4 linked regions of the Saccharomyces cerevisiae S288C genome follow. The main gene of each other region encodes a partner of the protein of the gene in region 4 in a complex. Each region holds a gene or a part of one and is shown on either strand. Other genes may lie near its edges. A codon is read from its position in the direction of its gene.

What was found.
Region 1: CDC48 (region 4) and RKR1 share a complex: the UniProt entries of both Saccharomyces cerevisiae proteins name them as parts of the ribosome quality control complex.
Region 2: CDC48 (region 4) and RQC2 share a complex: the UniProt entries of both Saccharomyces cerevisiae proteins name them as parts of the ribosome quality control complex.
Region 3: the proteins of CDC48 (region 4) and NPL4 are in contact, whole or in part, in a cryo-EM structure (PDB 8DAR), measured with the Saccharomyces cerevisiae proteins. Residues at the interface, in NP_010157.1 of Saccharomyces cerevisiae: Arg74 (codon at 2,806), Asn207 (codon at 2,407), Met208 (codon at 2,404), Asn209 (codon at 2,401), Arg266 (codon at 2,230), Asn270 (codon at 2,218), Gly273 (codon at 2,209), Ala274 (codon at 2,206), Phe275 (codon at 2,203), Phe276 (codon at 2,200), Phe277 (codon at 2,197), Leu278 (codon at 2,194), Ile279 (codon at 2,191), Asn280 (codon at 2,188), Glu283 (codon at 2,179), Lys287 (codon at 2,167), Ala289 (codon at 2,161), Gly290 (codon at 2,158), Glu291 (codon at 2,155), Ser294 (codon at 2,146), Asn295 (codon at 2,143), Arg297 (codon at 2,137), Lys298 (codon at 2,134), Ala299 (codon at 2,131), Glu302 (codon at 2,122), Lys305 (codon at 2,113), Asn306 (codon at 2,110); in NP_009729.1 of Saccharomyces cerevisiae: His205 (codon at 2,337), Asn206 (codon at 2,340), Gly207 (codon at 2,343), His208 (codon at 2,346), Glu209 (codon at 2,349), Trp211 (codon at 2,355), Pro212 (codon at 2,358), Arg213 (codon at 2,361), Gly214 (codon at 2,364), Ile215 (codon at 2,367), Cys216 (codon at 2,370), Ser217 (codon at 2,373), Lys218 (codon at 2,376), Gln220 (codon at 2,382), Ser222 (codon at 2,388), Ala223 (codon at 2,391), Thr428 (codon at 3,006), Tyr433 (codon at 3,021), Val434 (codon at 3,024), Pro435 (codon at 3,027), Glu436 (codon at 3,030), Phe438 (codon at 3,036), Lys450 (codon at 3,072).

What each region holds. Positions count from the first base shown.
Region 1 is NC_001145.3:762,804-769,954, forward strand, and holds RKR1 (ubiquitin-protein ligase RKR1), read right to left. Parts: upstream 5,237-7,151; coding exon 548-5,236; downstream 1-547. Other genes in the region: YMR247W-A (uncharacterized protein), read left to right, coding at 6,480-6,623. UniProt on the Saccharomyces cerevisiae protein: E3 ubiquitin-protein ligase component of the ribosome quality control complex (RQC), a ribosome-associated complex that mediates ubiquitination and extraction of incompletely synthesized nascent chains for proteasomal degradation.
Region 2 is NC_001148.4:535,307-540,746, forward strand, and holds RQC2 (Rqc2p), read right to left. Parts: upstream 3,631-5,440; coding exon 514-3,630; downstream 1-513. Other genes in the region: RET3 (coatomer subunit zeta), read left to right, coding at 1-281; CHL1 (DNA helicase), read left to right, coding at 4,079-5,440. UniProt on the Saccharomyces cerevisiae protein: Key component of the ribosome quality control complex (RQC), a ribosome-associated complex that mediates the extraction of incompletely synthesized nascent chains from stalled ribosomes as well as their ubiquitin-mediated proteasomal degradation.
Region 3 is NC_001134.8:575,844-579,810, reverse strand, and holds NPL4 (nuclear protein localization protein 4), read left to right. Parts: upstream 1-1,724; coding exon 1,725-3,467; downstream 3,468-3,967. Other genes in the region: SMY2 (Smy2p), read left to right, coding at 1-661; Sec63 complex subunit SEC66, read right to left, coding at 827-1,447; adenyl-nucleotide exchange factor SSE2, read left to right, coding at 3,815-3,967. UniProt on the Saccharomyces cerevisiae protein: Substrate-recruiting cofactor of the CDC48-NPL4-UFD1 segregase. Assists CDC48 in the dislocation of misfolded, polyubiquitinated ERAD substrates that are subsequently delivered to the proteasome for degradation.
Region 4 is NC_001136.10:235,640-240,511, forward strand, and holds CDC48 (AAA family ATPase CDC48), read right to left. Parts: upstream 3,026-4,872; coding exon 518-3,025; downstream 1-517. Other genes in the region: cyclin PCL2, read left to right, coding at 1-214; HNT1 (adenosine 5'-monophosphoramidase), read right to left, coding at 3,380-3,759, 3,871-3,967; YDL124W (aldo-keto reductase superfamily protein), read left to right, coding at 4,620-4,872. UniProt on the Saccharomyces cerevisiae protein: ATP-dependent chaperone which probably uses the energy provided by ATP hydrolysis to generate mechanical force to unfold substrate proteins, disassemble protein complexes, and disaggregate protein aggregates.

The sequences.
Region 1 (7,151 bases), on a different chromosome or scaffold from region 4:
AGGATTAATTCATAGCTTCCGTCATGCTACCTGAATATTTTAGGGTCCGGTCACTTAAAAATGAACGCGTTCATAGCAAGGCACATATATCCAAAGTTAAAATGAACAAAGTGCATCGCATAGTTGTATATGCAATACAATCAAATTTCCTCAAATAAAAAGAACAATTGAGAGAATGAAAAAGGAAGAAAAGAGTGATAATTTGAGAAAAAAATAGCTAAACAAAACGATAAATGATTTTGATTGAAATATTTCGGTGCAGTCCTTTTCCGAAAATTGGGGACATTCAATAGAATTTCATCAATGGTTATCCCTCTTTTAGTAGCTAAAAACTGAAAACAAGGCCTGAACTAAAAACCATTCTTCTTTCAAGTTCGATTTTTATCCTGAAAAAATCCTGAAGAGAAAAAATTTCCAGAATATCCGGGTGATGGGCTGGATTGGCAAGGTATAGGGCTGGATTGTATAATTTGTAAGAGAGCACAATAATAAAAGGAACTTTGTTTAAAAAATGTAGTACATTTATATGAAATTTATATGCGATAGTCTACCTTCTAAATGGAATTTCACTACGGCATAATGGACATGTATTGTTACCCGATGATCGAAACCACTTGTAAAGACATGCTCCGTGGAACTTATTTTTACAAGTCGGACATGTCTTCGAAGGTAGTTTCCTATCCACGGCATGTAGTATAGAGTAACATATGGCACATTCCTCGAAACCAGAAAATTGTAAGTGCACATTTTTAGTAAACAACTCCAACGAATCCAAAACGGATCCATTCATGCCTGTAATTACATGTTGTGTAGACATTATCCATTGTTTCCATTTTTGTTCACTTATACCAACTCTAGAGACGCCATTAACTTGGATATTTGTTAAAGGGTAGTTTTTTGGTAGTTTGAAGGAAATCTCCAACTTTTGGTCGTCAATCAAATAGCTTGCCTTCACTTCATTAGTAATATTATTTAATTTAATAGTCAAAGCATCATCATTAGAAGTCAGGCGGTCCATCTTAGAATTGATATCGTCAAATTCATTTTTGATCAAAATTGGGGAGATGAACTCTGAGACAAACTTTTCAATATCATTTTGTAATGTCCTATCTTTTATATTTAACCACCAAATACTCGTTAGACAACCGACGTTGTTAAACAACTGATAAAGTGTATGGCCCAAAAGTTTTTTACATTCTTCAAATATGTCTTCTTTATAAGGAGAGAAATTATTGCCGACAATGTTGTATTCCGAAATTTCCTTGGTGTCGACCTGTTTCCAAAACTCAGTATCTCTTAAATCTATTTGATCTGTTATGAAATCAAACATTCTATTGATTAAACCAGCTTCCTTTAATTGTTCAATAAATATTTGTCTCATATTATAAGACGTATCTTTGAAGTACATCAGTATCAAGTGCCAATACCATAGATATTTAATAAATGAATTTTTATTCTCGTATTCAAGGTATTCTTTTGGCACCTCATCAGTAACTTTTTGTAATAATTTTTGAGGTAGTTTAAATTTTGAGTTTACATCATTATCAGATGCACTACCATCTACGTCTGAGCCAGTTTGTTTTTGAATCCTCAGTTCATACTCAATTATAATATCCTGCTGTGTTTTTACCACCAAAGAACCCAACAAAGTAGTTAATAATCTTGATTGATTAATATTACTACCGATATCCTTATCATTCAATACAACCTCGAATATTCTTTTGTATTGAGATTCTAACTTTTTGAGTTCCATTGAGGAAATGACCTTGTACAATTTCTGGTAGAAGAGTGTGGATACTTGGTTATTTCTTTCTTGATTAAAGTTGAGAAACATCAGTTCAATCAAATTTTCTTGAATTTCATCACCATATTCTGAGATTTCCTCGCCATTTTTGGAAACGCCTTGCGACAATGTTTCATATAAGTTCAAACAGGAAGAGCGAAGTTCTAACAAATATAAAGTGTCATCAATTTGACACATCGATAGAGAGTCTGCCAGCAACCTTTCCGAAAGTTCAAAAGCTGTTATGCCCATATCTCTGACTCCTTCAAACCTCATCAGTTTGGTGAAAAAATCTAGTAGTAACAATCTAACGGTGCTAAAGCTAGGCTCGTAGGCAAGATCACTATCCAACCATTTTAGTATTGAACGGAATATCATGTTCAGTCTCTGCGGTGCTATAGGAACAAACTGTTTATCTGCCTGTGGGATATCCAGCAGATTATTTAAAAGAGCTAACGACTTGAATTCTTGATCGACAAGTTCTACTTCTCTAATCCCAATCAATTGAGATGCCAGCAATGTCCTTAATTTCGTTATCTCATCTTTTGAGTTGGACCTGTTAAACATCAATAGTAATATAGCACATAGGAGATAATCTTTATCAGTAGATTTTTGATCCCTCACAGTTTTCGTGACAAAACTTTCAACCGATGCTAATAGCCCATTTAATGTGGTGGATGAAACAGTATCAATGCTGTTCAATAGAACCTTATATAATACTCTTGAATAATAAAAAAAGTAGACAGAATTACTTTCAGCAATATCAAAAGTAAGCATAGCATCACCACCATTAGCAGGCTGAATAACGTTTCCAACAATATCAGAAAAGTTCAAATTTACTTTGCCATGTTTGAAAAAGGTATGCCCAAAATCATAGTAAAGATCATTTGGTTCCTCTGAAAGGCAATTATAATCAGTGACGAGCTCAGAAACTACAGTTATAAATGCAACAATATGGTTATTAACGCGCTCTGGAAGAGCATCAAGTAGGGCATCTAAGAATAGAGCATACCTGATGAGCTTTTGCATATTTTTTAAATTGATAGGCTTATCATCTGTAAGGAGCAAATGCGTGTTAGTACTTAAGCTGCTCACTAAGGATGACCTATAATCAATTGCTGGCATATATCTGGCAAAAACTTCGATTGCGTTAGCGGGAAAAAAAATCTGAGAAGTATCGTTGCAGCCATTAATTAGCTCCACGGCGTGTGTGACATATTTTTCTTTTGCCCCGGGGCTGAAATAAACCTGAGCATGTTGCAAAATCACTTGGGCCAACTTATTAGCGATTTCAGAATTCCCTTTAGCCAACTGTAATGACAACTTGAATAGTTTCTCATTAGTGTCTTCTGAAACTTCATACAATGCACAAGAAAGAAAATCGGTATTCAGCAATAACGTTGAAAAAAAAGTTTCATCTAATTTAGACAAAACAGCACAAAATTGTTCAACTTGGCCATTGGCAACTGCGCTTCGGTAAAGTGTGGTGATAGTCCTTTGATTTAAAAATTTATTATTACCTTTAAATATTTCCCCACTGTCGTCAAACTTATAATTTTTCATAAAGTCTTCAATGTACAATTCTAATTCTAGGGAATCTGATTTCATTAATTGTTGATAAATATCATTGTCCAACTCATTCATTGTGGCTAAAATTATTGTCTTTGGTAAGTTAAAAGAAAGCGCAACGATAAAAAAGTCTTCCAACGAAGTAATCGCGTCAGTATTCATTTTGAAAAATTTGGAGTTTGAGTACTGTGCCATGATACCAGCAAAGTTTTGATATGTTGATTCTTGGACCAACGTTGGAATTTCGTTTATAAATTTCCCTATCTTCCCATTCAAGAAAATCATATCTGAATCTAAAAAGTAATTGAGAGCATCATATACACCGTCGTATTTGTTGAAAACATTTGAGGGATCTGTTTCGATTAATTGCACAAAAAAATCGAATAAACGACTAATTGCGGATTCGTTATTAGGAGAAGTAACCAATAAAGCAAAAAGATTCTTCTCAAAGCTCACCTTTATTTTTCTTATGTCTTCGTCTGAAGTGAAGTAATCTTCAATCTCTCTCTCCCATTTATCGGGTGGAAAGACGCCACTAAGAGTCTGGTTCAGTTTTGTGTACTCAGATAAAGATTTCCCGCAAGACAGAGAGTTAAAAATCTCACTTTCCACCATTTTTTTCACTCTTTCTTCTGATGAATCCTCAGCGAACTTCAAAAAATTTGTCCAAAACTCATTAAGAACCTCAGCGCTGTTTCTCGCAGAAAAGCCCTTTTCATTCAGTCTTTGCACCGATTTTTGCCAAAATGGAAGCCATTCAAGATAATAATCAAGAAAACTGTGTCTTTTAGTCGAGCTGTACAATGCAAACACAGCATTGAAAAATCCTGGCGATGGTGAAGTACGGGAAACCGATAAAAATTTGAGTACTTTTTCTTTAGAAGATTTATCGTATGACCATATTGTCCCATCTTCATAGTCATCCAAGGTAGCTAAAAGGTTCAGTATTGATGGGAGAACAGGGCATACTTTTAGAATATTCTTTGACGTAATATGAGTCAACGATTTCAATAGTTTTTTCACCGCTAACTTCATTATATTTTTGTGGGAAGGCATGTAACCTCTTGTATAAAGAACATCAATCAATCGAAGAACTGTTTCGTAGGCATTTGTATTTTGCCCATTTTTTAAGTTAAGTAGTTTCCAGATTGACTCATCAGAAAGAATCACCTTAAGACTGGAAGAATTACGTTCTGAGACGTCTTTGTTATGAACAAAAAGCTTAATCAGCAGCAATACGGCACTTGCTATAACTCTGTGGTATCTAAACTCAGATTCTTCTTTACTGGAGTAACGTTCATCAGAAATGGTATCTTCATTCTCGTTTACAACAATCTCCTTTACTAAATTCAATAGTTGTTCTTGAAAAACAGCCCATAAGGCGTTAATTTTTGCTGGGTCTTTGTTGAAACACTCTGTTAATTCATTAAGAGAAGGTTTGGAAACACTATAATCGAGTTCGCATGTACCGAGAAGTATCAAAGGTATAAAATCCTTTAAAAACTTCGATATTTTCTTCCGAAGGCTTTTGACAAGCATTATAGTAATTTGATGTGATTGCAGTCTGATGACCTTGTAATCACTAATTATCAGTTTAGCATATATCTGCGACCAACAAAGAAGAAAAATGTCATTGAAAAAGTACTCATTCTGGTTAAAGTCGCTGATCAAATTGGAAAGATCCATTAAAGCTTTTTCTTTTGTAGTTTCATCTCTTTTCAGAAGAGATTTGAAAATGAGTTTCAGCTCGTTCGAGTACAAGGAGTTTAAAAGACTTGGATCCGGCAAACCATCAAAGTAGTTTAAGGATATTCTAACACCATTATGGCCGAGCCCTAAATCTGTGTTATACTGTTGAAATGTATTGATTCCACCAAACGACATTAAGAACCAACTATTGCTTGAACTTTTTTTGATGGCTTAGCAGATTTGAACTATTAAGAAGGACTTCTTCAGTATTGTATATATTGAAGAAAACCATCTGAAGTTGCAACATTTGAATTTTTCCTATGACGTTTTTTTTCCTCGCTTCATCAATATTTTTCAGTTTTCCATGTTGGGGCATAATCTGGGTTAACTCGAATTGACAAGTATATAGTCAAGCTGGAGGTAAGAAGTACGTAACATTTAAAGAGCATTGTGACGATATTCTGTTCTTGATTAACTATAATTTTAAATATGAAGTTACACTAATTGCAAAGTAGCAAAAAATTTGGACGAGTCCGGAATCGAACCGGAGACCTCTCCCATGCTAAGGGAGCGCGCTACCGACTACGCCACACGCCCATTTCTTATTGTAATTTCTAGCCACTGTAAAAAGTGAAATCAGTTTAAAATGGAAGTGTCTATCAAAACTTACTATCCACTATCAAGTAATTACTCATGATTGTCGTGTTGGAATAAAAATCAACTATCATCTACTAACTAGTATTTACGTTACTAGTATATTATCATATACGGTGTTAGAAGATGACGCAAATGATGAGAAATAGTCATCTAAATTAGTGGAAGCTGAAACGCAAGGATTGATAATGTAATAGGATCAATGAATATTAACATATAAAACGATGATAATAATATTTATAGAATTGTGTAGAATTGCAGATTCCCTTTTATGGATTCCTAAATCCTCGAGGAGAACTTCTAGTATATCTACATACCTAATATTATAGCCTTAATCACAATGGAATCCCAACAATTACATCAAAATCCACATTCTCTACATGTCGGAAGAGGAACCACCTACCCCCTATAGTCTAGCATCCATCTTATTACATATACGACGTAGAAATATGGCATAAAGGTAAAGATTTAAAAGCTGCCATCAAATTTAATGGGGGTGGAACGCACGACTTGATAATGCAATAGGATAATGAGTGACAACATATAAAGTGGAACGAGAAACCATAATATTATTATGAAGAATCATCGATCCTTTTATGGATTCCTATATTTTCGAGTAAAACTTAAGGTATATTCGGTATAAGATAATGTTGTCCAAATTGTATTGTTATGGAAATGGTATTCAACAACTATCTCAAAAGTCACCTATTTCCCGTGCTTTTCGCATTCTATCACCTGTATTATTATATTGCATGATATCAAAAAGATGAATCATTCAGTGTAAATGGCACACAAATGTGCAAGTGCCAAGCTATTGAGTGGAATAATGGCCTTGTTATTTAATGGTAAGAGCCTTCTGAGGCCAATCTGCCTTCACGTACACAACCACCTTGTTAGTAACAGTGATACCAACATAGTTTGGCCGTGAGGCTAACCTTAGTGGTTTATTGCAATACTCAATACTGTTCTTAGACAATTATCCAACCATCGCCATTAAATGATAAAAAAATAAATTGACTGCTTAATTTTGCTGATACAATGCACTATATTATCGGCTGATGTAATGGTATTGTTATTCAACCTCCTCTCGGCATTGCAACATACTAATAGCCACCCTAGGGTGTCATTAGCATGCCTATACCGAGGCATACGAAAGCAACTAGCCATCAATTCCATCACCCTGTCATTCAACTCCGCTTCATGATCAGGACAGTTTGCACGTTATCAGATAAACTATGATACCGCTATTATTGAACTCTCTATGATATTCTATGAGCGTTTCTATTAAAAAGCTTGAGAGAACAGTAGGTTCCACTTGAGCTACATCTGGGTTGATAGTAGGGTCTGACATTGTTACTGACTGACATTCGCATAATTTGGTACCGGTACAAGCTTTGGCACATGTTCGTGATACCTTCGTCTGGTTTATTCATTGGCGCCAGTTCTCCCATTTTGG
Region 2 (5,440 bases), on a different chromosome or scaffold from region 4:
AGCAAGGATTTTCAGCAATCAGAGGAGCTTTGGATTTGATTTTGAACTCAGGAATGGACAAAAAAAACATCCAAGAAAACTATGATATGGTTTTATTAGCTATTGATGAAACCATTGATAATGGTGTTATCCTCGAAACTGACTCTAACACTATTGCATCCAGAGTTTCTAAACCACCTACGAACGAACCCCAAATGGCATTAGATTTGGATAAGGGTTTCTTAGGCGCGTGGGGTTTCGCAAAGAGCAAGTTTCAAGAAAGGTTACAGCAAGGCTTATGATCACAAGGCAAAGCGGATAGAAGAAAATTTTAGCTGGTCTTATATGGTATATATGCAGTGTCTTACTTTCTCCCTTCCATATATATGTATCTACTTATATATATAAGTATATGTTGCTCATTTAGAAATGATTGTCACCTCATGCTAATCATTTTATTCTTCTCGTTGGTCTGTGATGAAAAATAATGAAAAAATTATAATTGCTGTCTATTTTCTTTTCATCTCATATGATTTAGCGTTTTTTTTTGCCCTTCTTCGAAGAGTTACCACCGTTCTTGGTGGATTTCTGCCCAGCGATTGTTACTTTTAACTTGTCGACACAGAGCAGAAGAACCAAGTCCTGTTCCTTCAAGCCTTTAATCATTTCATGTTCTTGGGGCCAATCCATTTCGTTGTCAGTTGAAGAACCGTCTAGTGGTCTACTCTTGAAATAATGTAAAATTTCAGTTAAAGTCTTAGTTTTCTTCGCACTTCCCGGTTGTATTTTGACTTTGTATTTATATTTCAAAAGCGCAGGCCAGGGGGCAAATACTGGTATAATATCATCAACCACATCGCCCTTATCGAGAGATGGTTTTAATTCGGACTTGTGTTTATCATAGTTCACTCTTGCTTTCTCTTTTTTGGTGAATTTTAAAGCCTGTAGTCTTCTTTGTTTCTCGCGTTTATTCTTTCTATCTTCTCTAACTTCTCGCTTCATTATTTCTTCTTTCTTCCTTTGTTGCTGCTTTTCGATACCCTTCAAAGTACCCAAGGCCTCCAAACGCAAGAGACGTTCAGTTTCATCCTGGTCGGCGTATTTCTTTTGAATTTTCTTCAATTTTCCTCTTTTACCACGGACGTTACTGTTTATGTTTTCGATTAAAGATATCGGAACACCTGGTTCATCAAGGATACGCTGCGTACTGCTATTGTCATTTTTGGCTTTAGCATTTCCAGAATCAGAGTCGGTATCGGATGATATGGTGCAATGCTTTTCGATGTCTTTTTCAAGATTATCGTGTTCAAAACTGTTGTTTTTCGTGCTATCGTTTGAATCTCCACCCTTCTCTAACCCATTGACCTCGTTACTATCGTCTTCATCTTGCTGTTGCTCTTCTTCTTTTTCTTCTTCTTCTTTTTCTTCTTCTTCTTCTTCTTCTTCTTCTTCTTCTTCTTCTTCTTCTTCCTCTTCTTCTTCTTCTTCTTCTTCGTCATCATCACCATTATCCTCATTTCCACTGGTTTTCACTTTCCATAAAAATCCAAAACCCATCACAAGTTGAGCAGGGGGTAAATGGTTTTGATCATTCTCATTTTTCAACCGAAAGGCACCTTCTGGCAGAATGGAGTTATCAGAGCCATCGAATTTACTAACATTCTTTGCAAAGCACCACCATGGAGAAGAAGATATCTTCTTCGACCAAGCCTCGCTTGAGGACATGCATAGTATACCCGCTTGCATCAAAGTGTTCGGTGGAACTTCTGTTTTTTCTGGATTTTTGATCCATACATGAGAGTTAAAACTATTGGACATATAAATATCATCATCTTCAATATATTTTGAATAGATTTGATCTGTCTCAGCCGGACTTTTACCCATCATGACCAAAAATCCTTCACTTGAAATAAACCAACTATATTTTTCAAAAAAGTAAGGAGTGCGGATCTTTTTTAAGACACTGTGAGAATCTTTTAGCTTTTTTTTCAATTGTTGATCAATTTTGACTTCAATATTCTTCATAGCCTTGCCGACATTCTTTTCGACTTTTTTCTGCTTTTGAGCACTTGTTTTTTTGATATTGAAATATTCAGTGGCATTGGCATAAGCTGATAAACCAAGGTCAATTGTAACGTTTATCTTTTCATTAGATTTTCTTTTCATACTTTTTGTACTCCTCTCCTTCGAACTCTCCATGTCTTCTGAGTCTGAGTCACTAGAACTATCAGTAGTATTGCCTTCTGATTCATTGTCCTCGTCTGAAGAAGTGTTGAGTTCCTTGCTAGAGAGATCAAGCTTGACGCTAATTTTGTTCTGTTTCAAGTTCAAAGGCAAGTTCAAAAGCTGAGCAATTCTGTTGCCTTTTTTTTGTTCACTTTTAATTAGTTTCTCAATAGTGTTCCAGTCCATTTGTTGATCGATTAGACCCTGAACAGCAAGCTTAACTTCCTCTATTAAGGGTGCATTTTCAATTATGAGATGGCCTTTCCTTTCATTTAGTTCTTGGACGTCTAATAAAGCTTGTATTTTTCTATCATTTTCGGCACGAGCATCATCGATTTTCTTTTGCGCTTGCGATTCCTGATTTTGTATACGTAGAGCATACTTAGAGGATTCTATTGTTGAGAAAAATTTGTCTAGCGTCCTATTGTAAGGACCTTCAACTTCAATGATACAAGAAGAGTCAGTGTCTCCCCCATTTATATATGGCTTAAAGGGATGGAATGTATCATAAATAAATTCCAAATCGGCAGTATCTTTTTCAGAGATATAATTTTCATTTCTTTTGGCCAAAATGTAACCCTTTCTATCGGTGGTAGTTAAAAGTTGATTATATTCTAACTGAGTACTGTTTAGCAATTCGGCGAGTGAGTCTGTTTCCTCCAAAAGATTTAAACAAGACTCTGAAGGGTCGATATTGAATACCTTAAGGTTCTTTGATAATAAATCTGAAGACAAATGAGGGACTTTCGAAAGCAGCAGTTTATGGATGGAAGGTACTTTCACTTTTTTTTTTTTAGCGCCCTCCTTCCCTTGAATGTTAAGTTGCTTAATAACAGTAATGTCTGATTCATACTTGGCTTGAACTGCTTTTATCCACTCGTTGACTAGTTCAGAGGTGTATTCTGCCTTTCTGTTTTTTTCTATGGATTCATCAGCAGACTCGTTATTTGTGGTAAAAAGTGATTCGTCAAACATTTCATAAATTTGTCCGACCTTATTTTCATGCTCTAGAACGACTCTTTGCAAAGCCATAATTCTTCTGTTCTCATCTAGAAGAATGACATTCCCTGCACTGAAAAATTCCAAAACTAAATAGAAGTGGCCATCAGCAAATTGTAGAACAAGAATTCTATCCTGGTCTACTTGCTTTAAAGCTGTTAACCGTTTAGCTTTAAGATGCTTCCTTAGTTTGACAACAAAGCCGGAAGGAGTTGGAGGTATTGGCCTACTAAATTCAGTTAAGTAAATTCTTAAGCCACAATCGACAACAACATTGAGTTTAGAATCTGGTTTATTAAATTTCAGCAAAAATTGTTTTGAGGAATCGGCAATGTTATATATATTACTCAATCGGTAGCCTTCCAAATCCTGTTTCAGCTCTCTAGCCAACAGCAGTAAATCTAGGGCACTAATTCTTTGCTTCATCGCTATTAATCTCTTGCCTGCCTGACTTCTTAGACCGGATAATAAGTAGCAACTTTCTTTTCAATTTGCCATCGGATTCTTTTAAAACTATTTTTCAGGCGAAATTTCATTTTTCTATCCTTCCGCAGCATGAATGAAAAGTTCAAACGCGTCCAAATATACAATAGATATAGTGCATTAGTTAATGTCCGGAAGAGAAGTCGCAATTGTTGAAAAGGTTAAAACTCAGGCTATTTATTGAAAATCCAATTTTAATCGTAACCACAGAGTTGAGGTAGAGGCTCATTTGTTACCTGACAGTTGATGACATTATCACTGACATATTTAAATTCATCATTAGTGTAATCAGCACATGCTAAGTTGAGGGCACTACTGCAACTTCAGTTTGTTTCCTTAAAACCCAAAAGAGTAGAAAACCAGGCTAAAAACAGTCACACTAGTCCAAAAAATGGACAAAAAGGAATATTCGGAGACTTTCTATCATCCTTATAAGCCCTATGATATTCAGGTACAGTTAATGGAAACTGTATACAGAGTGCTATCCGAAGGGAAGAAAATAGCTATCCTGGAAAGCCCCACTGGGACAGGCAAGACGCTGTCCTTAATCTGTGCCACGATGACTTGGTTGAGAATGAATAAAGCAGATATTTTCACCCGCATGGAAACTAACATCAAAACGAATGAAGATGATAGTGAAAACCTAAGCGATGACGAGCCAGACTGGGTTATTGACACTTATCGAAAGTCTGTTTTACAAGAAAAGGTGGATTTGCTAAATGATTATGAGAAGCATTTAAACGAAATTAACACGACCAGTTGTAAGCAGTTGAAAACTATGTGTGATTTAGATAAAGAACATGGAAGATATAAATCAGTTGATCCATTAAGAAAGAAACGCAAAGGCGCTAGGCACCTTGATGTATCACTTGAAGAACAAGATTTTATTCCGCGCCCGTACGAATCAGATTCTGAAAACAATGATACCTCCAAAAGCACAAGAGGAGGAAGAATATCTGATAAAGATTACAAATTGAGTGAACTAAATTCACAAATAATAACACTTTTAGACAAAATTGATGGGAAGGTTTCGAGAGATCCAAACAATGGCGATCGCTTTGACGTTACAAATCAAAATCCAGTGAAAATATATTATGCATCCAGAACTTATTCACAATTAGGTCAATTTACTTCTCAGTTAAGATTACCCTCGTTCCCATCATCCTTTAGGGATAAGGTCCCAGATGAAAAGGTGAAGTACTTACCACTTGCTTCGAAAAAGCAGCTTTGTATTAATCCAAAAGTGATGAAGTGGAAAACATTGGAAGCTATTAATGACGCATGTGCGGACCTTAGACATAGTAAAGAGGGATGTATCTTTTATCAAAATACAAACGAATGGCGTCATTGTCCTGATACGTTAGCTCTCAGAGATATGATTTTTTCAGAAATTCAAGATATTGAAGATTTAGTTCCCCTGGGAAAATCTTTGGGAATTTGTCCCTATTACGCCTCGAGGGAGGCACTTCCTATTGCGGAGGTAGTGACTTTGCCATATCAATACTTACTTTCTGAGTCCACCCGTTCAAGTCTTCAAATAAACCTTGAAAATTCTATAGTAATTATTGATGAGGCTCATAATTTGATAGAAACAATAAATTCTATATATTCCTCTCAGATCTCGTTGGAGGACTTAAAGAATTGCCATAAGGGGATAGTAACTTATTTCAACAAATTTAAGTCCAGGCTCAATCCCGGTAACAGAGTAAATCTATTAAAGCTCAATTCACTTTTGATGACTCTGATTCAATTT
Region 3 (3,967 bases), on a different chromosome or scaffold from region 4:
CCTACCATCGAATCAAACTATTGATATTAAATCTCAGTTTCAAAAAAGCCCAAAAGGGATGAAAGAGTCGTCTCCGTTAAAGGAGTTGGAAGATCCAAATTTCATAGAAGAGCAGAAAAAACTATGGGAAAAGGTTCAGAGTTCTTCCAAACAAGTAAAGTCCACATCCTCTGCATCTACTACCACATCTTCTTGGACTACGGTGACTTCTAAAGGGAAAGCACCTATAGGAACCGTTGTCTCCCCATATTCAAAAACCAATACCAGTTTAAATTCTTCATTAACGGCAAAAACTAGCACAACTTCTACTACCACTACCTTTGCTAGCATGAACAATGTTTCTCCCCGGCAAGAATTTATCAAATGGTGTAAATCACAGATGAAATTAAATTCTGGAATAACCAATAACAATGTCTTAGAACTATTATTGAGTTTACCTACGGGGCCAGAATCTAAAGAATTGATTCAAGAAACAATTTATGCCAATAGTGACGTTATGGATGGTAGAAGATTTGCCACTGAATTTATTAAAAGACGTGTTGCGTGCGAAAAACAAGGTGATGATCCACTAAGTTGGAATGAAGCGCTAGCTCTATCAGGCAATGATGACGACGGCTGGGAATTCCAAGTAGTGAGCAAGAAGAAGGGTAGAAAACACTGAAAGGAAAAGCTTCATAATTTTTTCTTTTCACTGCATATTTCTTTATCATTTATTGTTATTGTATATACTTTATAACTATTTTTTAACGCAGATAATGACAAATTCTATACATATTTTTAAAAAAACACTGAACGAGCGAATACATATCTTTGCACACAGTAGGCACTAATTGACTAATCTTCCATCATTATTTATTTTCAGCTCCCACTCTTTAATACACACTTCTTTCCGTTTCAAGATTGATTGATAACGTCTAGAGAGAGCTTGATTAAAGCAAATTTCTTTACAAACCATAACGAACAATTGAACCCAGCCCGGTTGCAATCTTTCAGCTTCTTGTAAAGTATCTTTAAATTCCAATTCAATTAATTTAACTTCAGTTTCAAATCTCTTCCAGTAATCCTCCCCAATAGAGCCATTTTTATATAGAAGGTTTATCTGAGGAGCCAACTCTTTTAACTTTAATGATCGTCTAACAGATTCTGCTCCTCTGTTCAATAAAGCGGCCTTCAACACCTTCTCGTGAATTTTTTCATTTTCACTCATTTCCTTTATTTGGAAATACAGATCATGGGCATCGTTTTCGTCAAATATGGATGGTTGCTCACTAATTTTTTTGGCCTGCTTCTTTCTGTAGCTTGAAGCAAACATCACAAGGGACACCACCAGAATAAAGACATATATGAGTGGGGTATAAACGGAGATTGATTTCGTCTCCACAATTGGCTCTTCCGTTTCAAAAAACGTCCCGTTGTTGGAGAATTTTGTTTCATTAAATTCGGACATATTGGCAAACTCAAGTAGTTGTGCGTACCTCTTTCCTGTACTTGAATTCGTTTAAATAAGCCATTTCATTAATATTTCATCAATTTTTTCACATATTATTTCAACTTTTAGACGTGTTCCTAAAACTTTTGACGTTTTTTGGCGGGTAATAAGATGCGTCTACCCATTTTAAGGAACGCCCTCGTAACATACAGAACGAAGAGTGGCAAATAATAGGACAGTACTCTGAAGAAAAATTTCCCTATACTACTGATATCGATATACATTTAAGTGAAGTATGCTTATCAGATTTAGATCAAAAAACGGTACACACAGGGTTTCTTGTCAAGAAAACGACCTTTTCGGAACGGTCATTGAAAAGTTGGTGGGTAATCTGGACCCCAATGCCGATGTCGACACATTTACTGTTTGTGAGAAGCCCGGTCAAGGTATTCATGCTGTTTCTGAACTAGCTGATCGAACAGTGATGGATCTAGGACTAAAGCACGGTGACATGCTGATCCTTAACTATTCGGACAAGCCCGCTAATGAGAAAGATGGTGTCAATGTTGAAATCGGATCCGTAGGTATTGACAGCAAGGGAATTCGTCAACACAGGTACGGTCCACTAAGGATCAAAGAACTCGCTGTAGATGAGGAACTAGAGAAAGAGGACGGATTAATTCCTCGTCAAAAATCAAAACTATGCAAGCACGGTGATAGAGGTATGTGTGAATACTGCTCGCCTTTACCTCCTTGGGACAAAGAATATCATGAGAAGAATAAGATCAAACATATATCGTTTCATTCATATCTTAAAAAGCTAAATGAAAATGCTAATAAGAAGGAGAACGGCAGCTCTTATATTTCCCCTCTTTCAGAACCTGATTTTAGAATCAATAAGCGTTGCCATAATGGCCATGAACCATGGCCTCGGGGGATATGTTCTAAATGTCAACCATCGGCAATTACATTACAACAGCAAGAATTTAGAATGGTTGACCACGTTGAATTTCAGAAGAGTGAAATAATTAATGAATTTATTCAGGCGTGGAGGTACACGGGTATGCAAAGATTTGGCTATATGTACGGATCTTATTCTAAGTATGATAACACACCTTTAGGTATAAAGGCCGTCGTTGAGGCGATATACGAGCCCCCTCAGCATGATGAGCAAGACGGTTTAACCATGGACGTAGAACAGGTCAAGAATGAAATGCTACAGATTGATAGACAGGCTCAAGAAATGGGGCTTTCGCGAATTGGCCTAATATTTACAGATTTATCTGACGCGGGAGCTGGGGATGGGTCTGTTTTTTGCAAAAGACATAAGGATTCGTTTTTTCTTTCATCATTAGAAGTTATTATGGCTGCTAGGCATCAAACAAGGCATCCTAATGTAAGCAAGTATAGCGAACAAGGTTTTTTTTCTTCCAAGTTTGTAACTTGCGTTATATCAGGTAATTTGGAAGGTGAAATTGATATTTCGAGCTACCAAGTATCCACAGAAGCTGAAGCATTGGTTACTGCAGATATGATAAGTGGGTCCACATTTCCTTCAATGGCATATATTAATGACACTACAGATGAAAGATATGTACCTGAGATATTTTACATGAAGTCGAATGAATATGGTATAACAGTGAAGGAAAATGCGAAGCCTGCATTTCCGGTAGACTATCTTTTAGTGACGCTGACTCATGGGTTCCCGAATACCGATACGGAAACCAACTCGAAATTCGTTAGTTCCACCGGATTTCCATGGAGCAATCGACAAGCTATGGGGCAATCTCAAGATTATCAAGAATTAAAAAAGTATTTATTCAATGTGGCTTCAAGTGGAGATTTCAATCTTTTGCATGAAAAAATCTCGAACTTTCATTTACTATTATACATAAATTCTCTGCAGATACTCTCTCCAGACGAATGGAAGTTACTAATAGAATCTGCTGTGAAAAATGAATGGGAAGAATCTCTACTAAAACTTGTCTCATCGGCTGGTTGGCAAACGTTAGTCATGATCCTTCAGGAAAGCGGCTAGGAGAGACTGTAAGATTTGAGGTTTTAGATTAAAAAAATAGAAATGCGCGGAAGGTAAAATTGAGCCTTTTTTATTTTAAAACTATGTAAATCATCCAAAATAGTAGACGTTTCTAGAACGTCCCCTTACCAAAAATCACATCATACGAGGAGTTTTAAGGAACAATAACTGGGAGTCGCTTTTACAAATTGGTATATATTAAGGTACTCTTGATATAAACCAAAGGACTTTGCCGTTTAGAGATTTTTATTTATGAAATCTTGTATATAGATTTTGGAAATATCCCTTAAAACTTCCTTTTTTTTTTTTTTTTACCTGTAACAGACGTAACCAAAGGATATAATATAATGAGCACTCCATTTGGCTTAGATTTAGGTAACAATAACTCAGTACTAGCAGTTGCCAGAAATAGGGGTATTGATGTCGTTGTCAATGAAGTTTCTAATAGGTCTACACCATCCTTGGTCGGCTTTGGCCCCAGAAATAGGTACTTAGGTGAA
Region 4 (4,872 bases):
CGAATCCAATAACATTAGCGACAAGTTTTCTCCGCGAACATACAACATAGACTCCAAACACGATAACAAGGAAAATAGGCCAATACCGACAATTAAGCCTTTTAATTTTAGTAAAGCGCGCCCTGTGATCTTGAAAACTGGGTTAAACAAACAGATAATAAAAGAAGATACAAAAGTAAAGAAATCGAATTGGTCAAATTACTTCAAATCGTGATTTTAAATGTCGAAATTATGCCTGGCCTGCGTTTCTTCATGGCACTTTCGGAAAAGGCGGAAGAACACAGGTAAATGTTCTTACGACCGAGGTCCTACAGCCTCCCTTTTTTCTTATTTTACATATTAATATACATAAATATACCATAATGCATTCTTTTTCTAATGATTTAGCTCTCCTTTTTTTGACAAATTTGAAAATAAATATAAAAAGGGCCATAAAATATTGAGTTAAAATTGACGATTTTTTTTATAGAAATGACTTGAATTTACGATTTAAAATAAAAATATACCTGGCATATAACTAACTATACAAATCATCATCTTCCTCCGCATTAGAACCAAATGCAGCACCTGCTCCACTTGGAGCACTATTATTACTGTTAGCATTGTCCGTAGCCGTAGTACCTAATGGAGCGTCATTAAAGTTGAAATTACTGAATTGACCTCTAGATGCTTTCATTTGCTGTGAGTATGCTTCATAACGACGCAATTCAGCATCTGAAACAGAACGTTTAGCGGTCTTCATAGCTTCTGCGAAATGCTCCTTTGTAATATATGGAACAGGATCTACTTCTGGTTCTTGTTCAGCCTTTGCTCCCTCATCTGTCATTTCCACGTCTTCACCTTCTACTTTCACTTCCTTTTCAGCTTCGTGTTGTCTGTGAGCTTCGATAGAATCCTTGATAGCGTATTTAGCAGCCCTCTGCACAATATAGAGTAAATCAGCACCAGAGAAACCTTGAGTGGCCTTGGCAATCGCAGTTAACTCTAGCCCTGGTTCTAGTGGTGTTTTCCTTAATTGAGCATTTAGAATAGATAATCTAGCGTTTTCATCTGGCAATGGAACATAAATTAATTGATCCAATCTGCCAGGTCTTAAAATAGCAGGATCAATTTGATCTGGCCTATTGGTGGCACCAATCACGAACACATTTTTCTTAGCATTCATACCATCCATTTCTGTTAATAGTTGGTTGACGACTCTATCCGAAGCACCACCAGCATCACCCAAGGAACCACCTCTTGCCTTGGCAATGGAGTCTAATTCATCTAGAAAAACGACGGTTGGTGCAGCTGCTCTTGCCTTATCAAAAATATCACGGATGTTAGATTCCGATTCACCATACCACATACTCAATAATTCTGGACCTTTGACTGAGATAAAGTTGGCAGAAACCTCAGTAGCTACAGCTTTTGCTAACAAAGTTTTACCTGTACCTGGTGGACCGTAGAACAACACACCCTTTGATGGTGATAACCCAAACTTTGTGTATTGGTCTGGATGTAAGACTGGGTATTCTACAGTTTCCTTCAATTCCTCCTTGATTTCATCTAGGCCACCAACGTCATCCCAAGTAACATTGACACTTTCAACAACGGTTTCACGCAATGCAGATGGGTTTGAATTGCCCAATGCGAATCTGAAGTTGTCCATGGTGACTCCTAAAGAATCGAGCACCTCTGCATCAATTTCATCTTCATCTAAATCTATCAAGTCCATTTTTTCACGGATCTGTTGCATGGCAGCTTCAGAACACAAAGAGGCAATATCAGCACCCACGTAACCGTGTGTTTCAGCAGCCAATGCTTCCAAATCAACATCATCAGCCAACTTCATGTTCTTGGTGTGAATACGTAGAACTTCAAGTCTACCTGTAGCATCTGGGATACCAATGTCGACTTCACGATCGAATCTACCAAATCTTCTTAAAGCGGGATCAATCGAATTTGGTCTATTGGTAGCAGCAATGACAACAACATTAGATCTTGCCTTCATACCATCCATTAAAGTTAACAATTGAGAGACAACTCTTCTCTCAACTTCACCATTAGTCTTGTCTCTCTTTGGAGCTATAGAATCGATTTCATCGATAAAAATGATGGCTGGAGCGTTCTTTTCGGCTTCTTCAAAGGCCTTTCTTAAGTTAGACTCTGATTCACCAGCCATTTTTGACATGACTTCTGGACCATTAATTAAGAAAAAAAAGGCACCGGTCTCATTAGCAACAGCTCTTGCCATCAAGGTTTTACCAGTACCAGGGGGACCATACATCAAAACACCTCTTGGTGGCTTGATACCGATAGCCTTGAACAACTGAGGATGTCTCAATGGTAGTTCAACCATTTCCCTAATTTGAGCCATTTGCTTACGACAACCACCAATATCATCGTAACCCACCTCATTCATATTATTTTCTTCATCTTCCCTGTTGATTGGCTCACCTTCCCAGTGAATAATAGTATCCTGAGCAACGACGGCATATTCTTCAGGTTCGACATCCACAACCTTGAATTCGACTTGTCTCATACCGCCTCTGACAACAAAATGGTCGCCTTTCCTCACTGGTCTGTAGGCTTCCACAAAATAAGGCTTCAAAAAAACATCGAAAAGATTACCAGTTATACCTTCGATCGTATCAGCAATTGGTAACACAGAAATTCTAGTAGCGTATTTGATATCGGGGCAAGGATGAATTGTAACTAAATCACCCAGCCTAATACGTAAATTGTTACGAACTACACGGTTTATCCTGCATGCTCCGTCTTCTAATTCGTCATCGATCAACACAATTAAGACAGTATCTTTTCTCTTCTTGCCCTTAACGAGAACGGTGTCACCACGGAACAATTCCAATTTGTCCATGGTGTTAGAATTAATAGCAATGACAGAATTGTCATCATTGATAGCATCGTCCACCAAAAGCATGTTGTCCTTCTTCTTTCTTCTTAAAATGGCGGTGGCGGTTTTATCCTCCTCACGAGGGTCGACACCCGAGGCGTCCAAAAGTGGTTTATGTTCTTCACCCATGATTTGTATATCTGTCTTGTAGTTGAGCCAGTTATCGAGTCAATGGCGTTGAGTCAAATCTTAATAGAACTAGATTAATTGACTACATCAACTGCGGATCTCTTAAATACACGGCCCTGATATATGTCCTTTTTTGCCACCGAATTCACATTCGAGGGGTTGCCGGGTAGTGCGCAAAAGGCGGTAGGTTAAAAAGGAAGGAGTTAGAGCTGTTCATAAGGTATCGATAGCAACGATGGCTAGTAACATGATTGTTAGCATTATAGAGTGGATATGAATGGAAGCAAACACACCCATATGTATAAACTTAAATATGAAAAGAAAACGCTAAAAGAAATCATAGCATGCATTACTCTAATCGGAGCCTTCTAGTTTGGCAAGCAATTCCTTGTGTAGCTTGCCCAACTTATCGAAGTCCGTTTCTTGGGCTGGCCACCCTACAATCAAACCACTTTTCTCATCTCTCTTAGGAATCAAATGGAAGTGGACGTGGTCGACTTCTTGATGCGCAATTTTACCATTATTCTGCAACACATTATAAGTGTCCAACTTCATTGCCTTGGCCAGTCTCTTGGCAATCGGCATAGCATCGGTAAGGAATTCGTCCGGGATGTCATGCAACTTCGCACCATGGTACTTAGGAATGATTAAAGCATGACCTTCAGCAGTAGGTTGGATGTCCAAGAAAGCATACGAGTACTTTGTTTCAATCAATTTGAAGGATGGAATTTCGCCTGTTGCATAGCGGATCGATTGTTAGTATTCTGCTTTATGTATATGTACTACATAGAGACTATCGCCATCATTGGTGTGAGTGTAAGCTCTTTATTAGTAATGTGACATACTTTTAATAATCTTGCAAAAAATACAGGCAGCATCAAGCGTAGCAGGAGCAGACATTTTTGTTGTTGTTAGGTACGGTGCCGATATCAATGGCTCCATCAATGTTTCTTAAAAGTCTGGAAGGCGTGCTGATTGTCCTTTTACTTCATAATGTTCTCCGCTTTCCAGTCGAACACACATCACATTACACGATCGTACAGCAATGCTTCAGTAGGGCGGTAACTTCTTCAGAAGAGAACGGACCCGCCATTATTTCTGCAAGGAATATTCTGTAACGATTCGCACCATATCTTAAAGCTTCTCAAGCTTACTGTTTTATGTGACCTCCTTTTGTACTTTTCAAGTTCTGTAGACAAGTGTCAATTCAACCTTTGAGGCTACGTGGCCAACAAGGTCTTGCGCGATTTACCGGTGTTTCCTTTGCGCCCCCTGCTCATGCCATCAAAACGGCACGCTGTTTTGTAGAAGCCTCCATGCGTCTCCTATTTGGGTCCTTGCAAAATAGTCTAACGAAAGCGCGGAGAATTAACCGGAAAAAGGAAGTTGCCACACTCCCCTTACTAATCCACACCTAGGATCTCCTTTACTCGTATTTTGAATATCTACGAAAACACTCACATACGCTCATCCCATATATATATATATATATATACGGATATATTGATAGTCGGATACTACGTGGATATGGATACACATGTAAACGGTTGTGTTACCCTAAAGAAACGGAGGTCAGTTAACAACACTTTTACAGATGTCATTTCACCAACAGTTCTTTACCTTGAATAATGGAAATAAAATCCCCGCAATCGCCATCATTGGGACAGGTACTAGATGGTATAAAAACGAAGAAACGGATGCTACCTTTTCGAACAGTTTGGTCGAACAGATTGTTTATGCTCTGAAGTTACCTGGCATTATTCACATTGATGCTGCTGAGATCTACAGAACATATCCAGAAGTTGGGAAGGCACTTAGCCTCACCGAAAAACCAAGAAATGCAATAT